Linked DNA regions of Drosophila melanogaster. The protein of the gene in region 1 interacts with the protein of each later gene in a pairwise test. Each region holds a gene or a part of one and is shown on either strand. Other genes may lie near its edges.

What was found.
Region 2: the proteins of CG14100 (region 1) and CG17574 interact in a two-hybrid assay, tested with the Drosophila melanogaster proteins (one large-scale study listed by BioGRID).
Region 3: the proteins of CG14100 (region 1) and Tsp42El interact in a two-hybrid assay, tested with the Drosophila melanogaster proteins (one large-scale study listed by BioGRID).
Region 4: the proteins of CG14100 (region 1) and CG42494 interact in a two-hybrid assay, tested with the Drosophila melanogaster proteins (one large-scale study listed by BioGRID).

What each region holds. Positions count from the first base shown.
Region 1 is NT_037436.4:19,587,824-19,594,161, reverse strand, and holds CG14100 (uncharacterized protein), read left to right. Parts: upstream 1-3,637; 5' UTR 3,638-3,683; coding exon 3,684-4,759; intron 4,760-4,819; coding exon 4,820-4,967; 3' UTR 4,968-5,090; downstream 5,091-6,338. Other genes in the region: ash1 (absent, small, or homeotic discs 1), read left to right, coding at 1-811, 875-2,344, 2,404-2,610, 2,681-2,860; CG9330 (uncharacterized protein), read right to left, coding at 5,179-5,331, 5,391-5,482, 5,549-6,039, 6,108-6,281.
Region 2 is NT_033778.4:12,847,163-12,856,269, forward strand, and holds CG17574 (uncharacterized protein), read right to left. Parts: upstream 6,379-9,107; 5' UTR 6,321-6,378; coding exon 6,161-6,320; intron 4,421-6,160; exon of another isoform or gene 4,407-4,420; coding exon of another isoform or gene 4,286-4,406; intron 4,182-4,285; exon of another isoform or gene 4,109-4,181; coding exon of another isoform or gene 4,003-4,108; intron 3,787-4,002; exon of another isoform or gene 3,740-3,786; coding exon of another isoform or gene 3,613-3,739; intron 3,067-3,612; coding exon 2,937-3,066; intron 2,880-2,936; coding exon of another isoform or gene 2,877-2,879; coding exon 2,799-2,876; intron 2,735-2,798; coding exon 2,575-2,734; 3' UTR 2,196-2,574; downstream 1-2,195. Other genes in the region: antr (antares), read right to left, coding at 1-77, 266-654, 707-835; CG30486 (uncharacterized protein), read right to left, coding at 911-1,184, 1,236-1,630, 1,681-1,803.
Region 3 is NT_033778.4:7,041,326-7,049,038, reverse strand, and holds Tsp42El (tetraspanin 42El), read right to left. Parts: upstream 3,271-7,713; 5' UTR 3,086-3,270; coding exon 3,026-3,085; intron 1,763-3,025; coding exon 1,604-1,762; intron 1,539-1,603; coding exon 1,383-1,538; intron 1,067-1,382; coding exon 860-1,066; intron 796-859; coding exon 724-795; 3' UTR 501-723; downstream 1-500. Other genes in the region: Tsp42Ek (tetraspanin 42Ek), read right to left, coding at 4,508-4,579, 4,636-4,830, 4,932-5,093, 5,163-5,321, 5,948-6,007; Tsp42Ej (tetraspanin 42Ej), read right to left, coding at 6,367-6,459, 6,892-7,254, 7,309-7,470.
Region 4 is NT_037436.4:3,181,977-3,188,631, forward strand, and holds CG42494 (uncharacterized protein), read left to right. Parts: upstream 1-3,384; 5' UTR 3,385-3,419; coding exon 3,420-3,446; intron 3,447-3,504; coding exon 3,505-3,601; intron 3,602-3,657; coding exon 3,658-3,976; intron 3,977-4,035; coding exon 4,036-4,320; intron 4,321-4,372; coding exon 4,373-4,496; 3' UTR 4,497-4,573; downstream 4,574-6,655. Other genes in the region: girdin, read left to right, coding at 1-1,168, 1,224-1,462, 1,523-1,598, 1,660-1,823, 1,957-2,061, 2,273-2,690; CG32284 (uncharacterized protein), read left to right, coding at 4,695-4,721, 4,784-4,923, 4,987-5,128; CG14957 (uncharacterized protein), read left to right, coding at 5,603-5,629, 5,693-5,832, 5,891-6,014; CG42525 (uncharacterized protein), read right to left, coding at 6,235-6,355, 6,413-6,655.

The DNA.
Region 1 (6,338 bases):
ATTCGATCATCCCACCTGTAACTGTAAGAACCAGGGCGAGAAGTCTTGTTTGGACAACTGTCTCAACCGCATGGTTTATACGGAGTGCTCGCCCAGCAATTGCCCGGCTGGAGAGAAGTGCCGAAATCAGAAGATCCAGCGACATGCCGTCGCACCCGGAGTGGAGCGCTTTATGACGGCAGATAAAGGATGGGGAGTGCGAACTAAGCTACCCATTGCGAAGGGAACCTACATTCTGGAGTACGTGGGCGAGGTAGTCACGGAAAAGGAATTCAAGCAGAGGATGGCCAGCATCTACCTAAATGACACCCACCACTATTGCTTACATTTGGATGGAGGACTGGTTATCGACGGTCAGCGGATGGGCAGCGATTGTAGGTTTGTCAACCATTCTTGCGAACCCAATTGCGAGATGCAAAAATGGAGTGTTAACGGCCTATCTAGAATGGTTTTATTCGCCAAAAGAGCCATAGAGGAGGGGGAGGAGCTGACATACGATTACAACTTTTCGCTGTTCAATCCCTCAGAGGGTCAGCCCTGCAGGTGCAACACGCCCCAGTGTCGTGGTGTCATTGGTGGCAAGTCGCAGAGAGTTAAACCCCTTCCTGCTGTGGAGGCCAAGCCATCTGGAGAGGGACTTTCTGGCCGAAACGGGCGCCAACGGAAGCAGAAGGCCAAAAAGCATGCTCAACGGCAGGCGGGAAAAGATATTTCATCAGCAGTGGCGGTGGCAAAGCTTCAACCATTGTCCGAAAAAGAAAAGAAACTGGTCAGACAATTCAACACATTTCTAGTCAGGAACTTCGAAAAGGTTGGTTTACTTATTTTAATATACGAAATATATATTAAAAAATATTTATTTATCTTTCATTAGATACGCAGATGCAAGGCCAAGCGGGCGTCAGATGCAGCGGCGACTGCATCCTCGCCAGCACTTGGCACCACTAATGGGGACATTCCTGGTAGACGTCCCTCCACACCATCTTCTCCTTCCTTGGCAGCGCAGATTTCCGCGCTCTGCTCGCCTCGCAACATAAAAACCCGTGGACTCACACAGGCAGTGCATGATCCCGAACTAGAGAAAATGGCCAAAATGGCTGTAGTTCTAAGGGATATTTGCAGTGCCATGGAGACCCTCAAAATGTCCGATTTGTTGACGACAGTGTCCAGCAAGAAAAAGAAGCCTATAAAGACCACTTTGAGTGGAAAATTGGGTTCTACAGCTGCAACTTCAAAAGTGGAATTCAGATCGATACAAGCCCAGGTGGAGCAGGGACATTACAAAACGCCGCAGGAATTCGATGACCACATGCAGCAGCTCTTTGTGGAGGCCAAGCAGCAACACGGCGATGATGAGGGCAAGGAAAAAGCGCTGCAGTCCCTGAAGGATAGCTATGAGCAACAGAAGATCGCCAGCTATGTTCAGCTGGTGGAGATTCTTGGTGATTCGGAATCGTTGCAGAGCTTTAAACCAAAGGAAGTGCTTTCGTCAGAGGAGGAACCTGGAAAGATAGCAGTGAAGAAATCACCAGGAGCAAAGGAAAGAGATTCCCCAATTGTGCCATTGAAAGTGACTCCGCCACCCCTGCTTCCTATTGAGGCCTCTCCTGATGAGGATGTAATCCGATGTATTTGTGGATTGTACAAAGATGAAGGCTTGATGATTCAGTGCTCCAAATGCATGGTGTGGCAGCATACTGAATGTACCAAAGCTGACATCGATGCGGATAATTATCAGTGCGAGCGTTGCGAGCCAAGGGAAGTGGATCGAGAAATTCCCCTGGAGGAATTTACCGAAGAGGGACACCGTTACTATCTCTCCCTAATGCGTGGTGATCTGCAGGTACGACAGGGCGATGCCGTCTATGTCCTACGAGACATCCCCATCAAGGATGAGTCCGGCAAGGTGTTACCGACGAAGAAGCACACCTATGAAACGATCGGAGCCATTGATTACCAAGAGTGCGATATCTTTCGGGTGGAGCACTTGTGGAAAAACGAACTGGGAAAGCGTTTTATATTCGGACACCATTTCCTGCGTCCTCATGAAACTTTCCACGAACCATCGCGTCGTTTCTACCCCAATGAGGTGGTACGAGTTTCACTTTATGAGGTGGTACCCATTGAGTTGGTCATTGGACGCTGCTGGGTGTTGGATCGAACAACTTTCTGTAAAGGACGCCCCATGGAATGCAACGATGAGGATCATTGCTACATCTGCGAGCTGCGTGTGGACAAGACGGCAAGGTTCTTCTCAAAGGCCAAGGCCAACCATCCAGCCTGCACCAAGAGCTATGCCTTCAGAAAATTTCCCGAGAAGATTAAGATCTCCAAGAGCTATGCGGTAAGTTTAATATTTTAAATAATAATAACGCCAGTTAACTAATGAGCATTAATGTGTAGCCCCATGATGTGGATCCGTCGTTGCTGAAGACAAGGAAGCAAAAGACTGAATTAGACGTAGGAGCCGGGCCAACAACGATGCACAAGGTGTCTGGCAGGCAGGAACAGCATCAGGCCAAGATGGTTGGGCGAAAGCCTCGTGGGATCAGTGCCCCAGCGGATGCAACTGCTGTCCATGTCGTAACACCCGTGGCGCCCAATAAACAGGTGTGCAGAGTTTTGAACAAGTTTTGAAATCAATCTATTACAATTAACTTTGTTTTCAATCTCCCTAAAGATGCTTAAGAAGAGGAAATCGCGTTTAGAGAACGTTTTGATAACTATGAAGCTTAAGTGTCTGGATGCACAAACGGCACAGGAGCAACCCATTGACTTGTCATACCTGCTGTCCGGACGCGGCGCCCGGCAGCGGAAGACCCAGCAGTCCAGTAGCAGTTCTACGGCCAACTCAACATAACCGATGTAACGCGAGTAGATTAAGCCGTGTATATACGCCTAAAGTTAGAGGCATTGATTAATATTTATGGAACTTCAATTAACAATTAGCATTTAGCCATGTAAGATGTAACGGTGATAGTAGTAATCCTAAAGTGTACATTGTTATGAACAAACTTCGTGAAAGGACTCCGGTCCCGGCTAGGATGGAACAGATTATGAATTATGGTTAATATAAGGATTTATTTAAATACTAGTGCTTACGCCACCGCACCAAGCCCCCAATTTAGATGAATTTCTTTTGTTTTTAATTGTTTATATTGGCTCTCCATATTAATTTTGTTTTACAAAACTATCCCCCTCTCGTCTTTGCAATTGAAGGCGTTTGACTTTTGCATTGTTATTTTAAATTATTGTATTATGTTATGGCTGCTTAATTATGTAACACCCGAGTAGGACAACTTATTGCGCTATTAGTTTTTAGTTATTTTCCAATTGTTATTAACTGCTAACAAAAATTTTAAAAGTGAAATAAAAAATATATTTTTATTAATCAAAGCCGAATTTTAAATGAACCGCCTGTTTAACACAAGTGTTGGATTGCCTAACTGTCGCGTTATTCAACACTGCTTGCATGGGCGTAGTGAAGTTTCTGATTCGGGGGACTTCGAATTTAAGATTATGAATCACTTTGTTCTTGTATCGCAAAAATTCATTTGCTTAGAGTTTTTCTGCATTTTTTTTTGGGATTAAAATAATAATCCCCCCTTAAATGTGTTTGCTTACGCCCATGACTATGCAAACAGATGTTCAGTGAAGTTGAATTGGATTGAATTGAATCGGCCATGCTGTGTAATATATTTAAACGCTCGCTTCAAGCGAATATAAGGAATGTGAATAACTTAAATGTGCTGCGGTTGAGCAGTTCCAGTGGTCCCCGAGGAGAGATCCAGGACGCACTGGACATAGAGGCCAATCTATTCGGGAATTCAGATTTAAGGCATGAGCCGATGAACACGAGGGAAGCTTTACGCAAGAATCGATTTGCCGGTAGAAAACCAAAGGTGCCATTTGCCTCAGTTGCATCTCGCAACCTCTCAGCTCCATCTAATCCTGCACCACGAGTGGCTCCAACTCCCGCTCCAGTAATTAAGGACAATGAGCTGAATCTGGAGTTTGTGCGTCTCACTCTGCAGGATCCACTTACCAGCACCCTACTAACCACAGTGCGCTCCCGCAAGCGCCGTGATAAGAACCGGCAGATCATCGTCGAAGGCCGTCGTCTCATCCAGGAAGCCCTGCAATGTGGTCTCAAAATGGAAGTACTCCTCTTCTCCCAGAAAGATCAGTTGGCTCTGGTCAAGGAGGAAGTAGGCGTGGCACAGGTGGAGACGGGTACCAAGATTTACAAAGTGCCGCAGCACGACCTAAAGACGTGGTCATCGCTGGTAACTCCTCCCGGTCTGATGGCTATCTTCGACAGGCCGTCGGACAAAGGCTTGGAGAAAAACCTGGCGGAGCAACAGCGTCTGGGCTCTCAGCCCTTTCCCATTACAGTTGTGTGCGACAACATCAGGGAGCCCAACAATCTGGGCAGCATTATAAGGACCTGCGCCGCGCTGCCCTGCAGTCAGGTGGTGGTCACCCACGGCTGCTGTGATCCCTGGGAATCGAAGGCCCTGAGAGGAGGCTGTGGCGGTCAGTTTAGAGTTCCAATTCGGGATGATGTAACTTGGGATGAGCTCGCGCTAACCATTCCGCCAGAGGCGGCCGACGACTGTCATGTTTTCATTGCCGAGACCAACCAAAGGAAGCGGGAGAACAACCAGACCATTGACTATGCAGATATCAAGGGTCTTGGAGCCCATAACTTGCTCATTATTGGCGGAGAGAGTCACGGAGTCAGTGAGGAAGCTTACCGGTAAGGGGGGAAACGAATAAGTTATAAAATGGAATGCTAATTATGTTTTTATATTGTCAGTTTCTTAAACTTGGTTGGAGGTAAGGGAAAGTGCATCTACATCCCGCTGGCAGCTGGCATCGATAGCTTGAATGTGGCATCTGCTCTGACGCTGTTGCTTTTTGAACTGCGCCGAAAACTCATTCATCAGGCATCAGAAAAAGAATAAGTTTGGAATAGCAACCGATATAATTAAATGTATTTTCTTTAATTGTTAATTTCTATGACAAAGTGTATAAATCGCAGTTAAATCCCATCAATAAACTTGAGTATATTTGTTATGATCCTTTCGAAAATACAATTTTCATCTTGTGTCAGGCATAATATAAATTTATTGCTAGGCTGTTTCACAAATATAGTAATTAATAATTACATTTAATTCAACTATTAGCTTCGATTTCCTTGTAAACCTCGCGCTTATACTCGTCCAGACCACCTTCGATCGCTCTGACTGTGCGATTGCCACACACCCAGAGTTCCTTGCAGACGACCTTAATGAGGCGTTCGTCGTGGGAAACCAGGATTACGCCGCCCTAAGAAAGACAGTACACATGTATTTCATGGTGTAAATTTCCACTAAAGTCCACTTTACCTTAAAGGCATTTATGGCTCGGCCCAAAGCATCAATGGTTTCAATGTCCAAGTGATTAGTCGGCTCATCGAGCACCAGGAAATTTGGCTCCGCTATAAAATAAATATATTATGTTGATGTTAATGTTATTGAAAGAAGATGGATAGTCACTATCTTACCCATGCACATCTTTGCTAAGGCCACTCGTGATTTTTGTCCTCCAGATAAACTGGCAATGCTCTGCAGTGCCAGTGGTCCGGATATGCCGAAGCTGCCCAACTGCCGGCGATACTCTTCGTCCGGGCGACCAGGAAACAGTTCTGCCAAAACTCCCACACACGTTACATTCATATTCAGATGGTCCACATGGTGCTGCGCAAAATATCCAATTCGAAGACCGCGATGCAGGACAATGTTTCCGTGAATAGTGCTCAGTTGACCGACAATAATCTTCAGCAGCGTCGACTTTCCCGCTCCGTTTTCTCCGACAATGCAAATTCGAGAGTCCGATGTGGCTGAGAGATTGACGCCCTTGAAGATGGGCAGTGGATCTTCTGGATTGTAACGGAAAGTAACCTCCGAAATGGCCAGCACGGGAGGATTAAGGGGTTCCACTTCGGGGAATTTGAGCGTGACCACAGTCTCCTTTTCCACTGGCTTTAGTTCCGGCCTGCAAAGCGAACGTAGATGTTTTAAATTTCTTCCAGTCATTATTTTAATTTATATTTTTGTACTTACAGCTTTTCGAGCATTTTAATTTTGGATTGCACAGACGAGGCACGGTTTGCGTTGTATCGGAAGCGATCGATGAAGTCCTGGACATGAGCTCTGTGAGCCATTTGGGCCTCGTATTCACGTCTTTGGGACTTCAGCTTCTCCGTCTTGGTCTTCTCGAACTGTTCATAGTTTCCCCTGGGGAAAAAACAATTTATATTTAAATTAGGCTACATTTTGTAATTTGTAATAGTT
Region 2 (9,107 bases), on another chromosome or scaffold:
TACCTTTCACACGAAGGCCGCATCCCATACGAGAACCATGGTCCTGAATCAGGGGCATATAGTGGCCCACACAGGTTCTACAGTAAAAATAAATATGGTCTTAGTAGTTAAATATTGCAATTTCAAAAATGTAATATTAAACCCACTAACATGTGTTCGAAACGAAGTATTTAACCTAATACAATAATTTGTAAAAGATTTTAAAAGGCCTTCTCAAAAGCTGGTTCCTATTCTTGAGATATAGGTGGCGTTTTACGTCACTTACCCTTCTCTTACTGGCACTAATTTCTGACTGTTCATCATGCATCCCATGACATCCAGAAACAACTCCGGCAGCAATTTATCTAAAATCGCACTTTTAAGGCTCTTGGTCCGTCCCATCTTGCTACGGATTTCGGTGGTTGCCACATAGTGATACTTGTCGGTATTGGCGCAAAACTTTCCCGTCTCATCGCATTGGCGAACCTGTCTATCCGCCAGCCTCTGCAGTTCAAAATCCCAGCCCATCGTCGGCATGCGAGCGGCTACCGAATAGTTGCCCACTCCACTGGCCACATAGTTGCGCAACATGTTGATCCTGCTGAGGATGCCAGTCTTCAAGGCTCCATTAACGTTCAGGAACAGATTGTTTTTCCCGCATTGCTCACCTACTGCCTGCAGATGAGGTGGTTAAATCACTACAATCTCGAGTAATGATAGCTACTACCTTAGGTTGAAAGCAGCCCACATGAATTTCCGAGTTCATGCAGAGATTGGGCTTACAATGGGGATCATCTTCTGGTATCAAGCTCGCAGTTAGCGGTAACAAAAAGAGGTACAGATACCACATCTTCATCTCGTGGCAAAAGTAATTTAACTAACGTGTAGAGCTATCTTATGACCTAGATTTATTAAATGCAGCATGAACGAATCAATTAAGCTCGCCCAATTGCAGGGCATTGGGATTAACATGCTCCTCGGGTGAGCAGAGCCCCTCATATATGGAGTGGGTTCCCGCATAGCAGCGACTTCCCGGATGAGCACTTGCCCGGTAGACCAGCTCATTGGCGATCTTTCCGCGCGAAAAGTGACATAGGACACCGTACTGATAGAGTCCGCTCGTTTGGCCTTTTCGCAGCATCATGGCACAGCCGACATGGGCAGCCAAATCTTGGACCAGCTGGGTGAAGTAGCCGCGACACTGTCTGCAATCGTGGATTAGATATACATCAACCTCTTGAATCTCTCACTCTCACCCATCCTTGGCCGGTTTCTCGGCATTGATGTGGGCCATCGTGCAGCCCTTAACATCATCCATCCAAAACTGCAAGACAAAGTCCAAAACGGATATGGGATCCTTCTCCAGTTGCAACCACTTGGTACTGCCATATATATACGACACATAGCTGAACTCATCCGTATTGCTGCAGTAATCGTCTATATAGTCACAACGCCTCAAGGCAAACTTGGCCAACCCGGCCAGTTCCTCGTGCCACCGGAGTGTTGCCATCCGGGAAGCTGGACGCAAGTGCGGATACTGACCCTTAGCCACGGTATTCCGAAAATCGTTTAGGACGGCCAGGAGATGGGCACGCATGTGCATGGGAAACTTCATGATGATCGCTTCACTGCCACAACTCTCGTCAAAGTCCTGCGAAACTCAGACAGTTACTGAGCAACTTGATGGGAAGCCAAACTTACGCCATAATTGCGGCAAGCGATATGCGTTATTTCCGGCAGACACAGATCCTTGTTGCAGTAATCCGTAGATAACGCCTCCTGGCTGATAAGGACTATTATAAGGACTGAAAGAAGGTACAACATCTGGTGCCGATTGCTGGAGTCAAAATACAAAACTATTTTGAAGAAAACTGATCTATCTATACAGCGTAAAATCCATTGTAACTGCCTAAATGCAGCGTGACAATTCTATAATATATAGAGCTATTACTAGTTTTATTTCCAACAGACAGCCATATTCAACAAGGAATCCAAAAAGCTAGAAGGTTATTATTAAGATATAAAATTTACAATATGTGTAAAACATTGGAATTTCGCATGACTCAATTAAATCAAGGTAATAAAAACATAAAACATAATTGCGCATCTCAACTAAGAAAATAATAAATAAAAACTTTCGATTGGAATGTAAATCCACTAGTAATCTTTAGAAACCCATTTACCCACTGCTTTTTCATTGGCAAAAACATCCGAGTGCAGAAGTAATTGAAAACATGTTTGCATTTCTTGTTTTTGTGATTTTGTGAAAGTGCACATCGAAACAAATGTGCTTCAGTTGCATTTGATGTGCACTTCACTGGTTTATTACAATTAACACTTCATGTAGTTCAGTTTGGTTTTCGTTTTGGATTTGCTTAATATAGATGTATAAATAGAAGGTTGCGCTTAAGTTATATGTACACTTTACATACATCACATGGAATATAAAAATGGCTCGTTGTGCGATCGCTTTCACTTGGTTTTTTACCAGGAGTTTGGAGTTTTTTATGCAAGAAAACATGGAAAGTAAAGTGTTCAGCTGAGTAAAAAAGCTATAACGAGACGGAAAGGGGATCCTCAGTTCACAGTGCGATTTCACTGGCCAAAGTGGGGATTGTAGGGAGCTTGCTTCTCATATCCAGCGGGCATAACACTAGGTCCTGGATTAGCCATGGACATGTCATACGGCGGCGGATTCATGTTGGCAGCCCCGGCGCCAGGATACGTCGGATACGCCACGCCATGCGTTTGCTGACTGCAATGGATAAAAGCATATCAATTAATATTTGCGTTTCGCTGGAGCACTAGCTTCCACTTACCCCGGCATCGGCATAGGCATTGGCATTTGCTGCTGGTTCTGGTGGCTCATCGGCATGGGCATCTGCACAGTCACGTTGCTGCTGGGAAAATGGGGACATTAGAATAGTTTGCGGCAGCACTTTAGGCTCCGTACTTACCCGGTGGTCTGTACGGGGTACGAGGTCGCAGTTACGTAGGCATTGCTCGATGGATAGCCCGGCGGAGGCAGCTGTGTGACCGGATATCCGCCGGGAGCCGTGTGGGTGGCGGAGGTCACCACCACAGGCGCTGAAAGTAGAAAGAACGGAAAAAAAGAAATTAGAAACAGAAAATAGCTGCGCCAATGATTCTGAATCATCGCCAACCGCGAATCGCAGACTCGATAAGCTCCCACTTTTGATTAGACTCATCAGTGTGAACAAAAATTCCCCTTTCAGCACTATAAAAAATTTTCAATATTATATTAATCTAAATTAATGTAAGTCATAAAAACTTGATGTATATTATATTTTGCTTTTTTAATTTCATTTGGGGTTTTTTTGGTGTAATTTCTGTGCTTTTTTTTTTTTTTGAGCTTTTAATCTTATCCACTCAATTTATTTATAGAAAAGGGTAATAACAAGCCCGTGTCACGTTTATATGCACTATAAATACATTTTGTGTTATAATTAATATAAAAAATATTTTTAAAACATATACTGCCTGTATCGAAAACCAAGAATAAGAAAATACTTCACACTTAGACAAATAAGATAAGGCTCAACAAAATTTGCTGCACCACTATTTCTTTAAGTGTAATTGGCAATCCATTCATTGCTCAGTCAATGTAATTACCAACGCCTTCGCTGATTGTGTAGCCAACATTTCGCGCTGCTTTCTGCCTGCGTCTAATGCAAACAACGAAGGAAGTAATGAAAAATATGGCAAAGGCTATAGATAATCCAACCCAGAATGCCCACATTCTCGATAAGTCAGGGAATTTAGCTCGAAAAAACACAATCGCTTTCCAGGCGAACACAGAACAGACTGCAAGTCCTATGTCTGACAAAACCCACTCACTCGGACCGCGTCTAATCAATGTTCGATTTTATGGCCAATACGATAAGCGGGTGGTGTACTTGCATTATGGTTTTGTTTATCTCTGATATTGGCAGTACGAAACAGCTTCAAAATTACATAAATCATAAAACATAAATAACTCTTCCCGTAGCTGCAGCTATTTACCCATGGATCTGAACTTCTTGGCTATGCAAAAGAAGCAGAGGCACATCAACGAGGCAATCACTATGAAGACTGAGACTGCTATGATGGGAATAACAAACGGCTCCATCGCGAATATTATTCTATACACGCTGAACTGGTGCTACAGCGTGGAGTTCACGATTTCAACTGTTTCATGACATTGGGGTTTTTGTGTTTTTTTTTTTTTTTTGTGTAAATGGGAGATATTGGAAACCCATTGGACGGCCGCGTTATCGCCACAAACGGGTGATCCCCGAAAACACACCTGCACCCTTGGTGAGCGCCGCTCTCCGGGTTCGACCACGGGTCAGAAATACAGCCGCGGATGTCATGAAAAATACGGAGAAGGTGAAGAAAAGTATCCAGTAGATGCCCGAATCATCCATGATTATGATACTGACTGAATAAGCGGTGCACAAAGACTAAACAAAAGCGAGAAACTAAAGCCGCCGGATTGGCAATCGAAAAAGTGCCAGTAATGGCCAAAGAAAAGGGCAATCACACTCATAAAGATAGCACTTATCAGTGATAACAGTACACTTTCAACCATTATCATAACTTACTTAAATCACCGAGAGCCTGACGACGCTTCCAATGTAGTGCAACCAGGCCGATCAATGCCAAAATGAATATTTTGAAGGTTATGCGAAAAACGGATATGAAAACCACAGAGCGTTCCTGGGACTCCAGCAAGGAGCTGACCTCCGTTTCGTTATTCATTTCGGGAATACGTTTACAAATTGTTCCAATATCGAAAGTCTTCCGGATTTCGAGCAAGATTTAAGGCATATATCACAACAAGGGCAACCAAAACCGTGAGGATACAAGCTTCGTATGCCAGAAATGTCCAGTTTATGTGCAGTCGCTGGGAAATGTCCTCAAACACATCCAATATGGTGGCATTCATCGTGAGGACCTGCGACCTAACTAAATGGGTTTCATAATCATTTTCTGAATTACCCTGCATTTCGGGATCAACGTACGTCAACACTCAATCCTTTATGACCATTAGCCATTAATACCTAATTATTGATTTGCGTTTAGGCGTAAACGAAGCATTTAGTGGCACATTTGGAAATGGAATCCGAAATAGTAGGGAATCACAGTCGTTGTTATCAGCATATATTGCACAAATATAACAATAACACCCAGTCATTACCCACTCCAAACCAAGTCCTAAATCTCAGTATACCAAGATAGCCGGACTATTTCACAACAGAGGCTTTTAAAGTTTAGGATACTGGATAAGAAATTATTTTTAATTGTATTTGGAGGGGAAATTAAAAGCCTTAAATATGTCTTACATCTTTTAATATTAACTCGGATTTCTCATGCAAAAGACTTTACTTCTAGCTAAAGAACTAAATTCGCACACAATCCAAAATTTCTTCTAGACAATGACTTGAATATTTGAACCATAAATAAAATTGACAGTGCAGATAGGAAGCAAAAGCACTAAACCTTGGGCAATACCCATTATTATCATATATTTATCAATTTACAAGATCAAGTTAGGAAATCTAATGCAGACGCTTTGAATGACGTCTTCGAGTAATGGATTTAATTAGAAAAACAAGTTTTTCAGTGTATTAGATGCAGATACCGCTATCATGTGAGTTTTTACCTCTATTTACATGTGGCAATAATGAACAAAGTGACTCAAAGTGGACAATACGCAGAATAGTTTCAAAATGTTGTTAATTTTATCATTAAAAATTATAATTATAAAATAACTACATGCCACTTGATCTAACTACATAAAGCGGAAATTTTTGATTCATTAAGATGTGTCTCTTTTTAAAGCAGACAGCAGCATAAAAATAATAAGTACGGTATCTTAATAATGGGTTACCAACCTTTACAGTTTTTAATCTCCTTTCCAATTTTTAATCGTAGGCATATACAAATGGCCCCAATACAAATGGTCAATACAAAAATCGCAAACACTATAATCAAACTAAAGTCGTCTTCATTTGAATTCGAATTGAAAACATTCACAAAAAGAAAATTCATGATTGCACTGCAAACGCGACCTATAGACTAAGATAACTATCTGAAACTGCAATTATCTGTGAGTGTTAATAGATGCTGAAATAAGAGAGTTGGCTTATCGTACAGATACGTTAAGAATTGCTCTTACCTTCCGTCTTATTGCGTTTACAACAAGAACAACAACACTTGCAATAGCCCCAGATAAAAAGCATAAAAATGATTGCTATTAATCTGGCACCCGCTTCAGGAAGTTTATCGACACTTGGAGCATCGTATTTAGGTGGCGGTGGGAATTCTAAAGGAGGCATCTTTTTTCTAGTAAACACGTTTGACTGCAACGAACTGAGTAAATGAACTGGTCGAACTGTGTGTCTAAGCTCAGATCTTTTTGGACTGAATCTGGGAAAAAATTCAATTCACTAAGCCCTTTTTATTACGATAAGAAAAAGCGGACGAAAAAAAATATGCATGTTATCGTTTAGACTGTGTGTAAAATATTTATCCAGAATACAGAAAACTTATATAACCAGCTGGATTTTCAGTATTTAACAAGTATGGATGAAACAAGTACTACTTAGCTCTTTGTTTAATTTTAGTAATTTAGTGAACCATTCGCACATTTTTGCAGCGTACTTTTAGGCATAACCAACCAGAAGCCGCTAAAATACCCAATAAATATAAATTCTTGTCTTCTTTGTCTTTCCATCTGCTTATAGAGTCTTTGATATGTGACATCATAAATGGTCTCAAATGTATAATACATTTATTAAGATTTACAACGCACAACAAGTACGTAGTTCAATAAAAAAAACAAATTTGCGATCGATTTGAAATTTATGATTTAGTCACTATGAGTCAGAATTACACTCCATTTCCCAATGAAAGCAGTGACAACTACTATGAACTACAATATTACACCGAAGATGATTGAATTATTTGAAATTATAATAGGCTGACAAAAAAGGAAACTTTACGATCGAGCAGAGGTAAATGCAGTACAAAAACAATACATTGAAGAAAACTGCGATTGAAGTATATTTTGCCATTATTGGTCAAATTTTGCTAAATTCCAAATCCCTACCGATCCGAACGAAAGGAGCAAAGAAACTAAAATCTTAAATCACTTTAAATAATTACTCATACGCATAATATACAAAAGGTAAATACCACCATTCGCTTAAAAATTTGATTAGAATAATCATTACTCACTAAGCCGCACTCAAAAAAGTTTAAAAGATTTCATTACTTTTCTATGTGTATATCAAAAATTATGACCTTTGAATAGAAGTTTTTTAAACTTTTCTAAATTACTAAGAACGTAGTAAAACAGCAACATAGCGTTAATGCACCGAATGAATCAAAATATTTAACCAAAATTTGTAGAAAATTAAAATCATGGAAGCAATAAAAAAATAAAATTATTTTTTCAGTACCACATTCTTAAAAAGTACCATTATTTTTTTGAGTACGCTTAAATGTTGTAAACGACTTATAGTGGCTGCATCCGCTTTTTTTTTAAATCTTGTTCTTAATGTTCTGTTCACATCAGAATTAAATAAAACATATATTTTAAGTTCTTAGCAAAGGCAAATAGTGTATCCACTTTTTTTTTGTTTACGAAAAGAAAGCTACTATATATAAAGTAATTTTCTTAAACTTTGAATGTCGTCGTTTTTGTAAACTTTCTTATTTATTAAGCAGTTGATTCGGCAATCTTGTAGTGTTACAACCATGTAATAAATAACGAAACTAAGTAGTTAAACATAAAAAATTAAATAGATTGTTCTCCGTTCTCCATTTTGTTGAACAAAACAAGACACAGGAACTTCACACACGGAGCTTCGTCATCTGACAATTGGGAAGAACACAGGACAGCAACAAAGGATTTCTGCATCGAACTATACTAACTTGCTTCAATCACATCCTTGCCCGCCAGGCGCTGTTTCCTTTTGCGGATCACGTATCCTATGATCATTGCCACGACTCCGCAGAGGACCACAGCGAAAATGGTGCAAAGGATGATGGTGGAGATCTCCAGATCCCTGTCGTTCGGAACGTGCGGCATCCTAATCGAATTACTCACAACAATAGGTATTTACTAACTAATAGATTCTATCGGCAGGCAGTCTTGAGGATAGTTCGATGGGTCTTGAAACTACGCCACGGTGTTCATTACGCAGAGGTTCGACGATTATTGCGAATCGGATTCGATTCCTCGCCGACTTTTGTAAGAGTCCAGACTGTTTGCATATCCCCACAGACCCGAAGTCAGTTTAAAATGGTGGTTTGGATGGCAAGATAAGATTAGCAACCATCGCTGGGTTGGTATTGACGCTCTGGGCGTTTAATCGGCTTAATAACGCCATATAGTCCTGATATCGGTGCCAGAAGGTAGCATAGAATAGAGGGGAACCATAAAAGTTCAAGTGGACATTGTATTTACAGCTTGAAACCTGCGTCAATAGTCTACATCAATCAAAAATAAAATTAGGTTTGGTTTTCGAAATTTATTACTTCTGGGGGATCCTCAGAACGATGCGATTACTCTAAACAATTTCCACAAATCTTTGATCGTTTCTGACGTCAGTGCTAATCAAATAATTGAATTAGCCTTATCGAACGCTTATTATCTGAGATGGGAAACAATACAGCCGTTGGGGAAATTCACCGGTCAACAGTTGGACCCAAGATTTTTCTGCAGAAACGAAGTACGACTCAAGTGCAACGACAACAATTATTCTGTTGACAGAATGTCAATAATCATATTTAACTTATTTTATTATTTAATTATCTAAAGCTGGTCATAAGTAGGGGTAAATTATTTTCAATCAAGTACTCCTATGTACATGTAATTCAAGTTATTATATTATACACATATTATATATGTATATTTTAATTGCGTGCTAAATATTGAAATTTTGACCTAGTTAATCCATAACTCTATAGAGATTTGAAAGGTTTAAATAATAAAAATATATATATTTTTTTTTTGGTTTTTGTACTGTTGTGCAAATGTGTTATCGAACATAATAGAAATTTAAGTGAGAAAATTTTTCCATAAAAAATTTTTTGGTGTGCTGAAAAGTTGTTTTTCT
Region 3 (7,713 bases), on another chromosome or scaffold:
CATAACAGTTCGCTTGACTTTTGTTTGCGCAATTCGTTTGAAGAGCCCTCTAGTGGTCAGTTTTCTCCAACGCACAACATCACTGAAAAAAACTATCGCTCAACTTCAGTAAAATGTTTAGAGAGGTGGCTCTAAACACGAAGTTTATGTTGCTAAAAGAAAGAATATTTTCATATTCCGATGGATGTGCCCGCTGTAAGGAAAGTGCATGGATAGGAAAAAAAGAAACCGCTTTCGACTATTATATACCCTTTACACGAATCATTGGAGAGAAACATAAACATATATATGTAAGCCTTAACGCTTTTGCTTCCAACTTTTTGTTCCACATGTGCTCATAATTTGTTTTTGCGTGGACTAACTTAAAACATTTTATATAGTTATCGAGAACGTTCATACGGACGGACAAACGGACGGTCAAGGTGAAAAACTCAAAATATTTTGTATCACCGGTATCGCGAACCTATTTTGAAATCTTAATTATTGTCGAAAATATTGTTGAAAGTAATTTTTCTAAATATATTTGGTATTTTAAACGACATGTGTTTGGTACTTGTAGTTATGTACATATTATTTTAATATTCGAATGTGTTAAACATTGCTTTAATAAAAAGATTAACTCAGTTGCTTGGCAAGTAACGCTGGGTTTTCGTATCAAAAACAAACCATACACTGATGACACTTAGATTTGAGGAGTTTGGTTTCTTATTCAGTAAATATTCACTAATAGTTATATCGTCTCCGCCGGTTGGTGTAGTGAATGGCCAAGATGATGGCCAGCAATAGAATGACAGCCTATAAGAAATAAAGAAATGAGTTAGAAATTTGCTCCACCGTAATAGAAATAAAGAGCTCTTACGTTGAATCCGAGCAGACCCCACTCCAAATAGCCCAGAGTGGTTGCCTCATCTGCAAAAGCCTCCTCCACTTTGATGAGGCAGCCGCGCACATATAGATTCAGTGGATTCACACAGCTGTCGTCCTTGCAACAGCTACTTGGAACGGTATTGTTCCAGAATTTGATATCCAAGTAGTCTTGGGCACTGTCGCGGCCACAGCAATAGTACTAAAGTGATAGAAATATATAAACACCAAAATTAAAGGAGAAGGCTAAGCATACATAAATATGTACTTCAGCAGCTTTGCGCAATTTCTAATACTACATTATTAGAAATAAACATAAGCTAAAGCGTTATATTCAATTCAAACCATGTAAGATAACACTAGCTAAAAAAGAGCACGGCCCTAACGCCTATCTACCTTTTGCTTATGTACTTATGTATATAACAAAAAAAATTCCAAATTAAAGCACTCTTTTAATCTTTATTTTGGAAGCATTTGAACAAACAAACTAGCCTTTGCTTTGTTACATTGGCACTCACCGTTTTCTGAATAATATCCATACTGCCAGGCTTCGTCTGCTCCAGCTCCCACTGATTCTCCACCGTTTGAAGCGCGTACTTTTTAAATACATCTTTGGGATTCAGGATGATAAACGCCACTATAAGTAGCAGCAAAATCAGCAGCAGTGACGCATACTGCAAGGCAATTAGAATTATTAGCTCATGTATGATTCACCTAATTGCAATATTCAGTTACGTACCGTCCAGAGCATGCGCGGCGATTCGCGAACGGCTCCACAGCATCCAAACAGGGATATTACCAGGATAGTACCGCCCAGAATTAAGATGCCGATGGCATATGCATCTGGCATTGCTCCCCAGCCAAGGCCGCCAAAGATGAGCACCAGGATACCGAGTATCTAAAAGTCAGAAAATTAAATAGTCAATAAATATGTCCAGCATCCTCTAAATTATGAATATTATCTATCTATGTAAAAAATTGCCAAACAAAATTGGGTTTATAATCTCAGACCGCCTAGCCCTAAAAGTTTTTATAAAACACACATGCATAAAAGCAAAGATTAAAACAAGTCGAGTTCCCCGACTATCAGATACCCGTTACTCAGCTAGTGTGAATGCGAACGCTAATTTTTATATTTTTTCTGGAATATCGATAGATATTGGGGAATAAAATGAGAAAATTTAAAAATTGTTCAAAAGCTTGGACAAGCTCGATTTTGTGGGCGTTAGAGTGGGCGTGGCAGCATGGGTCAGCAAACTTACGCTGCGTCTTTGTCGCTAGAAGCTGCATGCTGAATCACAACCTTCTAGTTTTTATTGTTCCTGAGATCTCCATGTTCATACGGACAGACGGAAATGGCTATAGATCGACCTGTTCAAGCAAATATAGTATACGCTTTTACGAGTAATAGACGTAATTAAGAAAACAAAAAATGTCTCTTAAATTGTTTGAGCGACTGCGTTTTGGAATCATGACAACATTTTTTTAAAAGCGCTGAAGTGGGAAGTTCATACGGACAGAAAGACAGACGGACAAACGGACATGACCAGACCGAGTTGGCTAGAGAGTGTGATTAAGAATTTGTATACTCTCTAGGGTCGAAGAAGAATTCCAAAAGGATCAGTCAACAATCTATTAGGATTGGGCTTACATCAGACCATCGCGGCCTTGAGAAGGCCACAGAAAGTTTTGATGCATATGGGCACCGACTAATGCGTCGAGCTCGGCCTCATCGCTATTTTCATCATTATCTGGTGAATAATCCGGTTTCCATATTCCGCTCGAATTAGCCTTTCAAACGAAATCCGAATGCATGACGCACTTCAGCAACCTCGTTTCGCCGCTTGGCTAGCAAGCCCTCCTCTTGGCTTAAGGAACTAAAAGGCCGAGCAGAAGCCATTAACAATAGACACTGGCTAACACACACAGCCAGCCGCGAAGCGTTGTCATAAACCAAACACGCACCCGAGATGATATCATCCACCGACCAGGTGGACGTGGAACGGACAGCATAGACCCCAAACACCGAGGCTCCCCTCACACAAATTTCAAACCATCGCAATTAGCTGGCTATTTGTAGAAAAGAACCGGCAGATACGCAGATATATCGCTTAGACTCCCAAGGCACCATATGCCAATTCCAATTCGGTGCTCTACTTACCGCCCATAAGGCATTGAACAGGAACAGCGAGTACTTTATGGTGCCCGTTGCGCAACCCATTTCGAATGTTTTTCCACTTCAAACTTTTGCCTTTGGCTAGAATGCAACCGAATCGCAGTGCCACAAGTGCGGCAGTTTGCTGTGCCGCCGATTATTTTCAGTTTTTGAGTCCGTATCGGCGGAACCTGACTGAATCGGTTAGGAGTGCGCACTGGTGCGGCCACGGTCACGAGCAAACTGAGCTCCCCGAAAACTCTCTCGCTCGGAATCCGATCCGAGTCGAGCGGTCCGAAGCTCCAAAGCTGCCGCTTCTGCACCGTGGGTTCAATGAATAGAATAGCAGCTGTTCATGGAGCACCAAAATTATAGTGACGAACACTGCTCCTAATACTTAAGGCAATGCAGAGTGTTTCGGCACGAATCAAATGATATGGACTTCCTGTACGAATATGAAATACGTAATCAATTTTTAATCAAATATCTTCTCTAAGCAAGCTCTACGAAATTGATTCTTTTAAATTCATTTTCACAATTGAACAGTGATTGAGTTAAAATGATGTGCCCCACAGTGCCAGCTAGCAGTGTTTGTTAAAGCAAACAAAAGCAGCCGGGCACACACATTACTATACAGTAGAACCTCAATAACCCGCTCCCAGACGATAGCAAAAGTTCATTGCTTATTGTATTGATTTTCGTTGATACCATAGATGTTATTAAAATGAGAGGTTACAAAATATATCACTATCTTGTTATATTGATTTGTCAATTAATATACTTCGAGTGACTAAAATCCATTTAGCCGAATTCGCCTGCACTCGCAGTAGGCAAATCAAGAAAGTTAAAGGTGGCGGTGGCACTCTAGTGCGGCTCCCGCCATTCGGAAGCCAAACAGAAACTGAGGCGGGAAAGTTCGAAGCGTGGAGCTGGTTATGCTTGACAGAACTGAAGCGAAATCTATATGTCTCCGTTTGCCAGATGTTTAGCCGCGGTGTGTGTCTTATCGAGAGCGGAGTTGGGTCTAATCGACCACCGCCTCTCAAAGCAATTTACCAACGATCGAATTAATGCCGGTAAGATTGATTCAGCTCGATTGCGTCAGACACTCGGCACTGAATGACGCCATCAACATCACCGGATGAGCTCAGTTTCCGATGCGGAGTGCAGGATCCTGACTTCCACTATCAAAATAGAAACCCTAAATGCATTGCTCACTTTGTGTGAATCTTAAAAGTATAGGAGCTATATACCGAAAGACAGCTGAACTGACCCTGTTAGGCAAATACATAGTTACAAATACAAAGTTACTAGTTTAAAAATCACAATTTTAATCAGTTCGGATTGAACCCTTTGTATAATCGGAAGTATTCGTTTCATCGGGATACGCTTTTATTTCTCCTGGGAGCATCAAAAACTTTATACAAGATTACTGTAAAGGAATATTGGCGCCCTAATAATATATTCAGAATTCTACGAAAGTATTCCTTAGTAGGTGTAGCGAACGCGCTGCTTCCTGAATCTTCCGACCAAGTAAAAGGCGGCAATCATCATTAGAATCTGTAAAAACTCTGTAAGATTAGTCCCTCCATGTGTAGTTCACACATTTCACTCACGGTTATTCCCAGTGCTATCCAGTTGGTATCGTGGGCGTAGCTGAAGAGCACCACAAAGTTCTCACTGGACTTTTGGACGCAACCAGCTAGATAGTGGGGCATCTGGGGGTCCTCCTGGGGATAGCAGCTGGGCGGCAAGGTTTGACGACCGATGGCCACGTAGTCGTCGGGGCTATCACGCCCACAACACTCGTACTGTTAAGATAATTCATAAAAATGATAAACGATAATGCCAGCATATTAAATATATTCGATTAAAAGTGCATGATGCGAATGATCTTCGCCAGAATACGAACCACTGTCTGGTAAATGTCCATGGCGCCGGGTTCCACCAGCTCCTCGTCCCATTTCATCTGAACCTCCTCGGCGGCGAACTTCTCTATGTATTCCTCAGTGAACTTGAAGCGGAAGATGCCTAGCAAGCTGATTATTAGCTGAGCCAACAGCAAGAAGCCGTACTGTTGACATACAACACACAACATAGAGTGAGTGAATTACCAAACGGATGACATAGCGTTTCCACTCACCGTTGCGGTCATGCACACGTTCTCCATGCAGATTCCACAGCATCCCAGTACAGCCGAAACGAAGATAATGCCACCGAGTCCATATAGAAACAGAATGTAGGCGATAGGGGCTTTCGAGAGGGCCAACGTTGCAATGGCTATCAGGGATAGACCCGAAAGCTACAGAGGGAGCATAGGGTCAATTCAGATTAGCATTTGGCAATGATATCGGGTGGTAATGTCAATGACTCCAATGGAGCTTGAGGTATTTTCAAAATATTATCAAATGCCGCGGTGAAGAAACTAGATTTTCCCGTTTATCTGGGCACTGGAATCTCTGTTATTTGATTTGGTGTTTCACAATAACGTTCGCTCTCTTAGTGCTAAATAATGAGTTATTTTTAAAAGGATATGGATAAAACAAGTTTTTGGCAGTTAAAAATCTTGTTTTCTTCCATAATCTTCCATAAATTGTAAATATGGTACAAATCGCAGCATATGGTAAAGTCGTAAAGCATTTCTAGATCAAACAAATTGAATTTGGAATGTGTTGGGGCTAATCATTAAAGTGCGGCAAATGTTTCTCATACATATCTGACAAGCAAATTACGTTTACTGGCCAAACAAATTTTCGATTCCATGAAAACGGAATGCGTACTTGCTTGTCGATTTGCAGAAAAATGTATTCATTTAAATTCCTGTGGGAACACAGATGGCTAATTTACATTTGTAATACATTCTTATAGCACAGAATTACCAATTTTTATTCATATGCATGTGAATATATGCATATGTTAAGAACTCACCGCGTTCAGAGTATTAAGAGTGTTAAGGAAACACTTAACGCAACCGGAAGTGCAGCCCATCCTAGTGCTACGATTAAGCTGTTTTTGTAAAATTCCAAACTAATTCCTCTTGAATAATTAGTAATAGAGAGTAATCTTTGTTGTATGATCGAACCTGCCAGATCGGAGTTCCGATAGACAATGAATTTCAGATGCAAATATTTGCCGGCAGCACGTAAAATCCCAAAATCACGATCTGCGCTCTTCAATGTTCTTTTGTTTTTCAGATCTTCGCAGCCGAATGATGCCGAATTCAATGAGAGAGAGATATAACTGCGGGGAACTCGTTTAGGCTATGGAAAGTATTTATTTTCTAATGGCATTTTAGCTAATTTGGTTAATTTTTATTATCAATAATCATGCAGGGGTATCCTCGGCCATCAGTCGTTGATGGGGGTCTCCTCGTCCTTTATCTTGGTTTTGGCATACTTGCGAGCCTTGCCCAAATGGTAAGCGGTGAACAAGCCCAAAAACTGAAAAATACATAAATTGTAATAATATAATATTGATATGGAATCGAAATCGAATAGACAAGCGAACTTTGTTAAAAAAATATTTTACTGTCTTAACGTCCTTACTACTTTATAACTTTATAACATCAAGCAAAAGCTCAACAACTGTGTACATAAATAGTAACGATCGCACCTTTGACATATTTAGTTTAAAGAAAACTTTAGTAACAAAAATGGTTTGAATGAAAAAACACACATCTTATCTTGGCAGGGATTTCTATTTAAGCGTGACGAATAAAAAAGTAGTTAAAATGTGTTCACTGAGTCAGTTGTGTGCGTTAATTCAAAAGTTATTGGATAACTCTTCCATAAGCGACGTGCCGAAACATACCCTTGTGCTCAAGTACCCTTGTGGCAAGTGAATTTTACCCTGCGTATGGTTTAATGTCTCACCTCGAGGGCAATGATCGCCATGCAGCTGTAGTAGTTGAGCTCCGCCTGCATTCTCAGAGTAGCTACCGCCTTGGTGGAGCATCCCTCCTCGTAGACGTGCGCCGGCTTGGAGCAGTCGAAGGCGTAGCAGCAGCTGCTGGGCAGGGCGCCGTGCTCCTCCTGAAGGTAGTCCTGCGGTCCCTCAATGCCGCAGCAGCCGAAGAGGCTGTGCACTGGCTGCATCTTGTCGTCGCTGTGGGTCTTTCGCTCGAAGAGGTCGCGCATGCGCTCCTCGAACCTGCCCATCAGCTGCTCCCGCATCGCCGTGAAGGTGAAGAGGTAGGAGCCCAGGGCGGCTATAACCAGGCCACTGCAAATTAGGTACTGAATGCAAAGAGGTTAGTCTGTGACTTGCAGTTGTGAACGCAGTTTACTCACGTATATGGAATACTTGTACGACACCTTCAAGGCCACGTACATGCCCAGGAAGGCGACTCCGAAAACTGCTCCTCCGCAAAGTGCCGACCCATAGCTGCCGTAGACGGAGACGGCCGAACCCCAGGTGGTCACGCCACAGGAGAAGAAGAACACGTTGCACGTCTGAACGAAAGGGAAACAAAATAGTTAGTTAAGTCCTTAGTACTAAGGAAAATTATGGACTAAATTACTTCCTAATCTATTTCTTCTTGAACGAACATCTTTCTCGCAGAGTTAGAAACTAAAACTAAAAGTGTGGCCCCAATAACTTAATAAATTACTTGCCAAGGTTGTGCGTATGAACTTCAGGAACTAGCTATATGGAATGCATTATTATTTAACACCTACCGATAAGGCGTAATAGTT
Region 4 (6,655 bases), about 16 Mb from region 1:
GCTCGATGTCCAGAGCAAAGAACTACAAAAGCTGGGCAAAGCACTTGAGGATTCGGAGCAAGTGCATCAAAAGCTTGTGGAACTGGAGAAGCAAAACCAAGAGCTAGCTTCACAGCGCATCATTGATCAAGAGATGATAAGTACTCTTCGAAACGACTTGGTGACTGGTACTCTCGTAACGAAGAAAGTGCGAAACAACTTGGAGAAACTAGGATTGGCGGACGAAGAGCCCGGTGAGCTCAATGTGGAGCATGTGGTGGAGAAGTTGGTGCGCAACCCGGAGACTTTTAAAACGGTTCGCGAGATAATGCTAAACGTGACCCGAGAGCAGCTGGAGGAGGAGGAACGAGAAGGTGGCGTCAAGTCCGACATGTGTGTGCTATGCCACCGTCAGGAGATCTTTACGGTGGAAAAGAACATTGAACTCGCGGCTACTCCAGCTCCTGCACCAGCGCAACCATCTTCGCAGGAACTTCGCTTCGAACACAAGGTACGTCTAAGTCCAGCACGAGAATCAGCAGAGCTGACCCGTATTAAGGATTCCAACACTCAGCTTCAGACTGAGAATGCTCGGCTCAGCGTGGACGTGGCTGCGCTGGGCTCGCAAATAACTTCGCTGAACACCCAGCATGTAGCCCTACAGCTGGCAAACTCCCAGTTGGCTGCCGAAAAAGATTCGCTGCTCAAAGAGATCGATTCACTGCAGCAGGAGCACAAGCATGCTTTGCAGGATCAGGTTACGTTGCAATGCCTGCATGATCAACTCTCCGCGGAGTACGAGTCTCTGAACAAGGACAAGGAGCAGCTAAAGGCTGCAGTGCGGGACTTGCGTCAGGAGCTGCGAGATACCCGTGAACAGCAGTCGGCATTGGAGCAACGCATTGAGGAGTTGACTATTCAGAACAGCAACATGAAAACATGCAGCGAGGATCTGTCAATCCTGCGTACGGAGCACTCCAAACTGACAGACGACTTCCGCAATCTGTTCGCCACCAGCGATCGCTTCAAGAACGAATACAAAAACATCCAGGAGCAGTACAAGATGGTACGCATGGAGCACTCCAGCCTTAAGCTACAAAACACAGAACTCTCCGGCGAGCTAAATGCTAAGAGCGATCAGGTCCGTTGCCTACAGATGGAGTATAGCAAGGTTCAGCAGCGTTGTGAGGTGAGTTAAAAAGTGTCAAGATATAATATTCTATTAATATTCTTTTTGCATACAGATGTTGATACAAAACAATGCTGAACTGGACTCGGAGCGCAAGGCTCTGATGGACAACGTGTCCCAATTGCTCTCTCAATATCAGGAACTATTGGCCATATCCCTGGAGGACAAAAAGCACTTCCATGAGGAGGAGAAGAACTACACCGAACGGGTGCACAGCCTCAAGCGGCAGAAGGAAAAACTGGAGGAGAAAATTATGGAGCATTACAAGAAGTCAGAAACCACAGTGCACAAGAAGTAAATAATATAACCATACAAAAATATATTTGTTATTAAGCCAATCACTGTAAATTTCAGAAAACCATTTGCCAGCATGCTGGTTAGAAGAGTGAAGAAGGCTAGCTCGGATCTAATGAACAAGGTGCCCAGTCGAGTAAGTTTACTCACAACTAGATGTAAAGAAACTTAACATAAAAATATTTTTTTTTTTTCAGAACCGTCGATCTTGGGTAGATGACGCCCGTACCAATTCCCAGTTCGTGATCGGTTCCGAGTCAGGCGGCAATGAGTCGGATAATAGCAATGAGGAGCCACTGTCCATTGCCTCCGACACGCACCTGCTCCAGAGGAATGTCCCGCTCCGCCAGAGTCTGCAGCGGTAAGCCATTCAGTTGGGTTGGAAATTGATGTTTTTTTTAGATTTTTGGGTTCACGGTATTTGTTCTTTTTACATGTATTATACACAACTCGACATTCGCACCAAACAAACACTGTACATTATGTCGGAGTAGGGATTTGCTGGATAACTCGATCCAACGCGGCGGTGCCGTGCGCAGTAGCCTGCAGGCTCAGAAACGTACGGATTTGAATAACTCACGTAGAAATAGCGTGCACGGGTATGCGCTTTTGATGTTTAACATTCATTCTACCCCATTAAAACTTGCCAATTGAAACAGATCGAAGTCTGTTTCGAGGCTTCAATTGACCACTATTAATCCTTATTCCATCTTTCCCCTTGCACAATGCGTATTTCCCTTCGTTGTCGCTCCCCACCTGTGTTTAAAAAAGTGCATTCATCTAGTTACTGATAAATCATTTGCTTCGCAGCAGTCTTGAAGCGCCAGACGTGACGGGCAGCAGTCTGACTCTCGGAACGGCCGGTTCCAGACGCACCGTTTATCTTATCGATGAGCACCAAAAGCTTCCCGATGGCTCTACTCCCGGCGCCACACAGTCACAGTCTGTTGGCGGCAGTGGCTCCGTCAACGCCGCACCTCCTACACCCGCAGAACCTCAGACGCCTCAGAAGAGTACCGAAAACAATGCCCCGGTGGGCCCAGCTACGTTTCTCATGTACAACCGAATAAACACCACGATCGGAGGAGCCTCGAACAGCGGGGACCAGAGCCCTCTGCTGCAGGCCAGCGGCAGCGTCTCGGGAACGACCATGCAGGATGACAAGTCGGCAAGGAAGCGGACCGAAGACAAGAGCAATAGCATCTGGTATGAGTACGGCTGCGTCTAGATCATTCGAACAGTATACGTCCACAACGTGAACTCGAACATAATGCATTTGCTGACGAAGTATTATTTCGTTTTAGAAATTAACGAATTTATTTTTAAACGCATTAGAACATCGATGTTGCCTTAAGCAAGTTACATATGTAAGTGTGAAGTGCTGCTTAAACCGCTATGATTTGCCTTAAGAAATATTTTACAATTAGACTAGTACATAGTACATACTATAGTTTGTACCTATTTATGCAATCTAAAAACTCCACAAGACTACGCGACAACTATGCGAACATATAACTATCCAGTATACACCCCTATATACACAAAACTATAAAAAAATATGTTAAATATTAGCTGTACCGGCCTCAATGTACGTCCTAAGCGAAAGGCTTTCTTTTTCGCAGATAAGACAAGATATTTAAAAATAGTATTTATATCCGTTCATTTGGTGTTTTGTTAACTCGACTCGACTCTATGTATTCCTAGATATGTTGTAAACCACACTCGTACTCTGCTATCAGCTAACGAACGCGCCTTCAATTTGTGAATATATTTTTATAAATTACTTGTAGCCTTGTACTATTTATTGACGCAAAGCCTAACACCGCAATAAAACTAAGCAAACATACAGAAAATATCTCACTTTTTCGGCAAGTCTCTAAAGATAACCAAAGATACATATAAGGTGATCCGTTTGTCCCCAGTATTTTAGATTGAAAGGCGACTGGAGACAAAAAAGATGTGGCTAAAGGCGCTTGTTCTACTGGTAACTACTACAAACTGTGCGCACTTCGGGCTAATAATCACTTTTTAATAAACTTAAGCTTTCGATTCGATATTTGGCGGCCACGTGCAATGTGTGTCAAAGTGATAGCAATGTCGCTTGTCACAGTGAAACCACTTTTTCCATCTGCTATGACGGTCTGTAAATTTTCTTTAAAAACAAGGGGATTGTGTGACAACGTTTTAATTTCCAGGAGTTCCATCGTATGATCTCTTGCCATGTCCAAAGGACTTTTATTGCACGGATGGCTTTTACACTTGCTATCAAAATGCTAATCCGGTTTGCAAAACAGAGGAGGACACTTCCACCACCGAGATCCAGACAACCAGTACAACCACTCCTAGCCCCATTACCACGACAACCACTAAGAACCCAACTACCACTGCTACCCCAATTACCACAACAACCACTGAGATCACGACTACAGAAGCTCCGTGGAATGCCGACGATATCTGTCAGCAATACACTAAAAACACCTTTTTCGAAAACGAAGATGATCCCACCTGCACCACGTGAATACCCTACTGCTGAAAATTGTTTTCGATGCTAGACTAAAGAGTTCATTTTTCAGTTTTATAACCTGTACAGTTGATAGCGACGGAACGCATTCGACAAAAGTCACTTCATGCAAGGCTAATCAGTATTTCAGTACCAGCTTAAAGGTTTGTACCGCCACAAAGCCGGATGGATGCGTGGAGACGACAACCACTATAGCCACCACTACCCCAACCACCACCACCGTGACCACAACAGCGGCGAGTACCACCACAGCGGAACCCTGGAGTGCGGAGAAAACCTGCCTGACTGTCTCTAAGACCACTTTGTTTCAAAACCAAGACGACCCCACCTGCACCACGTAAGTAGACCACGAATTTCCAGGGAACAACTCACATAAACCATTCTTCTAGGTACCTATATTGTTATTTTATCAATGGATCGGCAACAGCTTTGATAAAGAACTGTAAGACCAACCAATATTTTGATGCTTCCTTGAAATCGTGCAGCGAAAACAAACCGGATTATTGCACCTAAGTCAGACCGTTTAACAGCAGTAATCGATCATTATCAGATTTATTGAAACCAATAAAATATTAGTATAAAACAATCATATGATACCATTTTCTAAAATTGGCAAGATAGGATGGGGAACAGGCCACTACAGTAACTATTTAAGAGCCACGCGGAGCTCTTATGCTTCAGAAAGCAAAAGGCAGTGCGGTTAAGCTAATCATGTGGCTGCGTATAATGTTTTTACTGGTGAGGTCTTTAAAAATATCTTTTACCTGTGCTAATGAAATATATGTACATATATATTTTAGTTGCTGGCTCATTGCCTCACGGCTTTGCCAGCTCCAGAGTTTGACGACCACAACTCGAAGACTTGGAGTGCGGAAGAAGCCTGCAGCGAAGTTACAACCACCACCATAATGGAAAACCAGGCTGATCCAACTTGTAGAACGTAGGTCACGTCTATGGCGTACAATAACCAAAATTATATTATATTTAAATTATACATTATCAGCTACGTTTATTGTTACGTGGTCAATGGATCAGTTTTGTCGTTGATTAAGAGCTGCAAAGTGAACCAGTACTTTGATCCCAATTTGAAAATGTGCCGGTCTGAAGTTCCAGATGAATGTTCTGCAATGGCACCAACCAACTAAATCCCACGGCATCTTTCATGCCACTTTGAACTTCTGCAGCGCCAATAAGCTAGAGCTATATCTGAATTTCTTGGAACCCAAAGCTTATAAATGTTTCAAATCTTGATGCCAATAAAAAGTAATAATAAATTATAGCATTGCAATGCTTTTGTAGGAAGTTTTATGGTTTATACGTTATATGGTTTTCAGCGAATAGATTCATTTCTACATATTCAAAACATCCGGATTATTGTTCTTGACAACACCCAGAGTTTACCCAGAAATTTGCACATATCTGAGAAGTCCATAAACAAAGTACATACGAGTACGAGAACGGGTGACAAAACAAATTAATAAACCTACGCAATAAACATTAATTACATTGCCAAAGCGTACCGAGATAAACGATGCTACAGATTAAATCCTGTGGTATTTAAAGGCCGCTTTGGCGCTCCAAGGTTTCAGTGTGCGAAGTGTAGCAAGGTTAAATTGACAATGTGGACGAGTCTAATTGTATCACTGGTAACTATGCAAGGACTGCACTTGGATCTATATCCCAAATCAAAAGAATCCACCCCATAATAGCTCCTGGTCCACTGCCTGCTTGCCGGGGCCGCGCCTGCGCTAAAGGATCTGGACGCGGGCACCTGGAGTGCGGATGAGGCGTGTCAGAATGTGGATAAATCGGTCATAATAGCGAACCAGAATGACTCCACATGCGTCAGGTAAGCAACTCGGCGGATTATACGGATTATCACCTACTAAATGGAAATTCACTTTCAGCTACGTCTATTGTTATAAAGTCAATGACTCAACGAGGGCTCTAATCAAAAGCTGCAAGACCGGGCAATTCTTTGATGCCGATCTCAAATTCTGCACTATCAGCAAACCAGCGGGATGTGTCTAATATGAGAAAGTCTTAGTTAGAAATACGTTTGAATAGTAATTCACTAGATTTTACATATGTATTATTAATTTATTACATTAAAACCCAAAAATTAAATATTTTTCGATTACCTAAGCAACCAGTGGCAAATTCCCAATCAAAATCCTAGACAGAATCGTTTGGATCATTCTTTATGGTTAACTGGATATAAAATGCATGAACTTTCTTTAATCGTTGAGGCTCAGCAGTTGCTCGGTCGTGTGGATTGACAGGACTCTGTATCCGAATTGTAGTATTCATTGGTGTTGCAATAGTATAGCCAGCCCAGGTAATCCTGACTCAATTTATAGCAGTAGACATACCTAGAAAGTCTAAAACTTAAGGCCAACGCATCTTGAAGTTGATAATAATATACTTGCATTTGACACGTTGTATCAGTCTCAACTCGGAAATATCCTTTGCTCTTCAACTTTGCACAATAGGCATTGGGATCTATTTCCGAAGGTACTGTAGTTTGAACGCTGGTAGATGGTTCAGTTGTTGTGGGCGAAGTACTCGAATCAGTGGTAGTGGCAGATGTGGTGGAATCTGTACTTGAATCTGTGGTAAGTTCAGATGTAGTTGATTCTGTACTCGAATTGGTAGTAACTTCAGATGTAGTT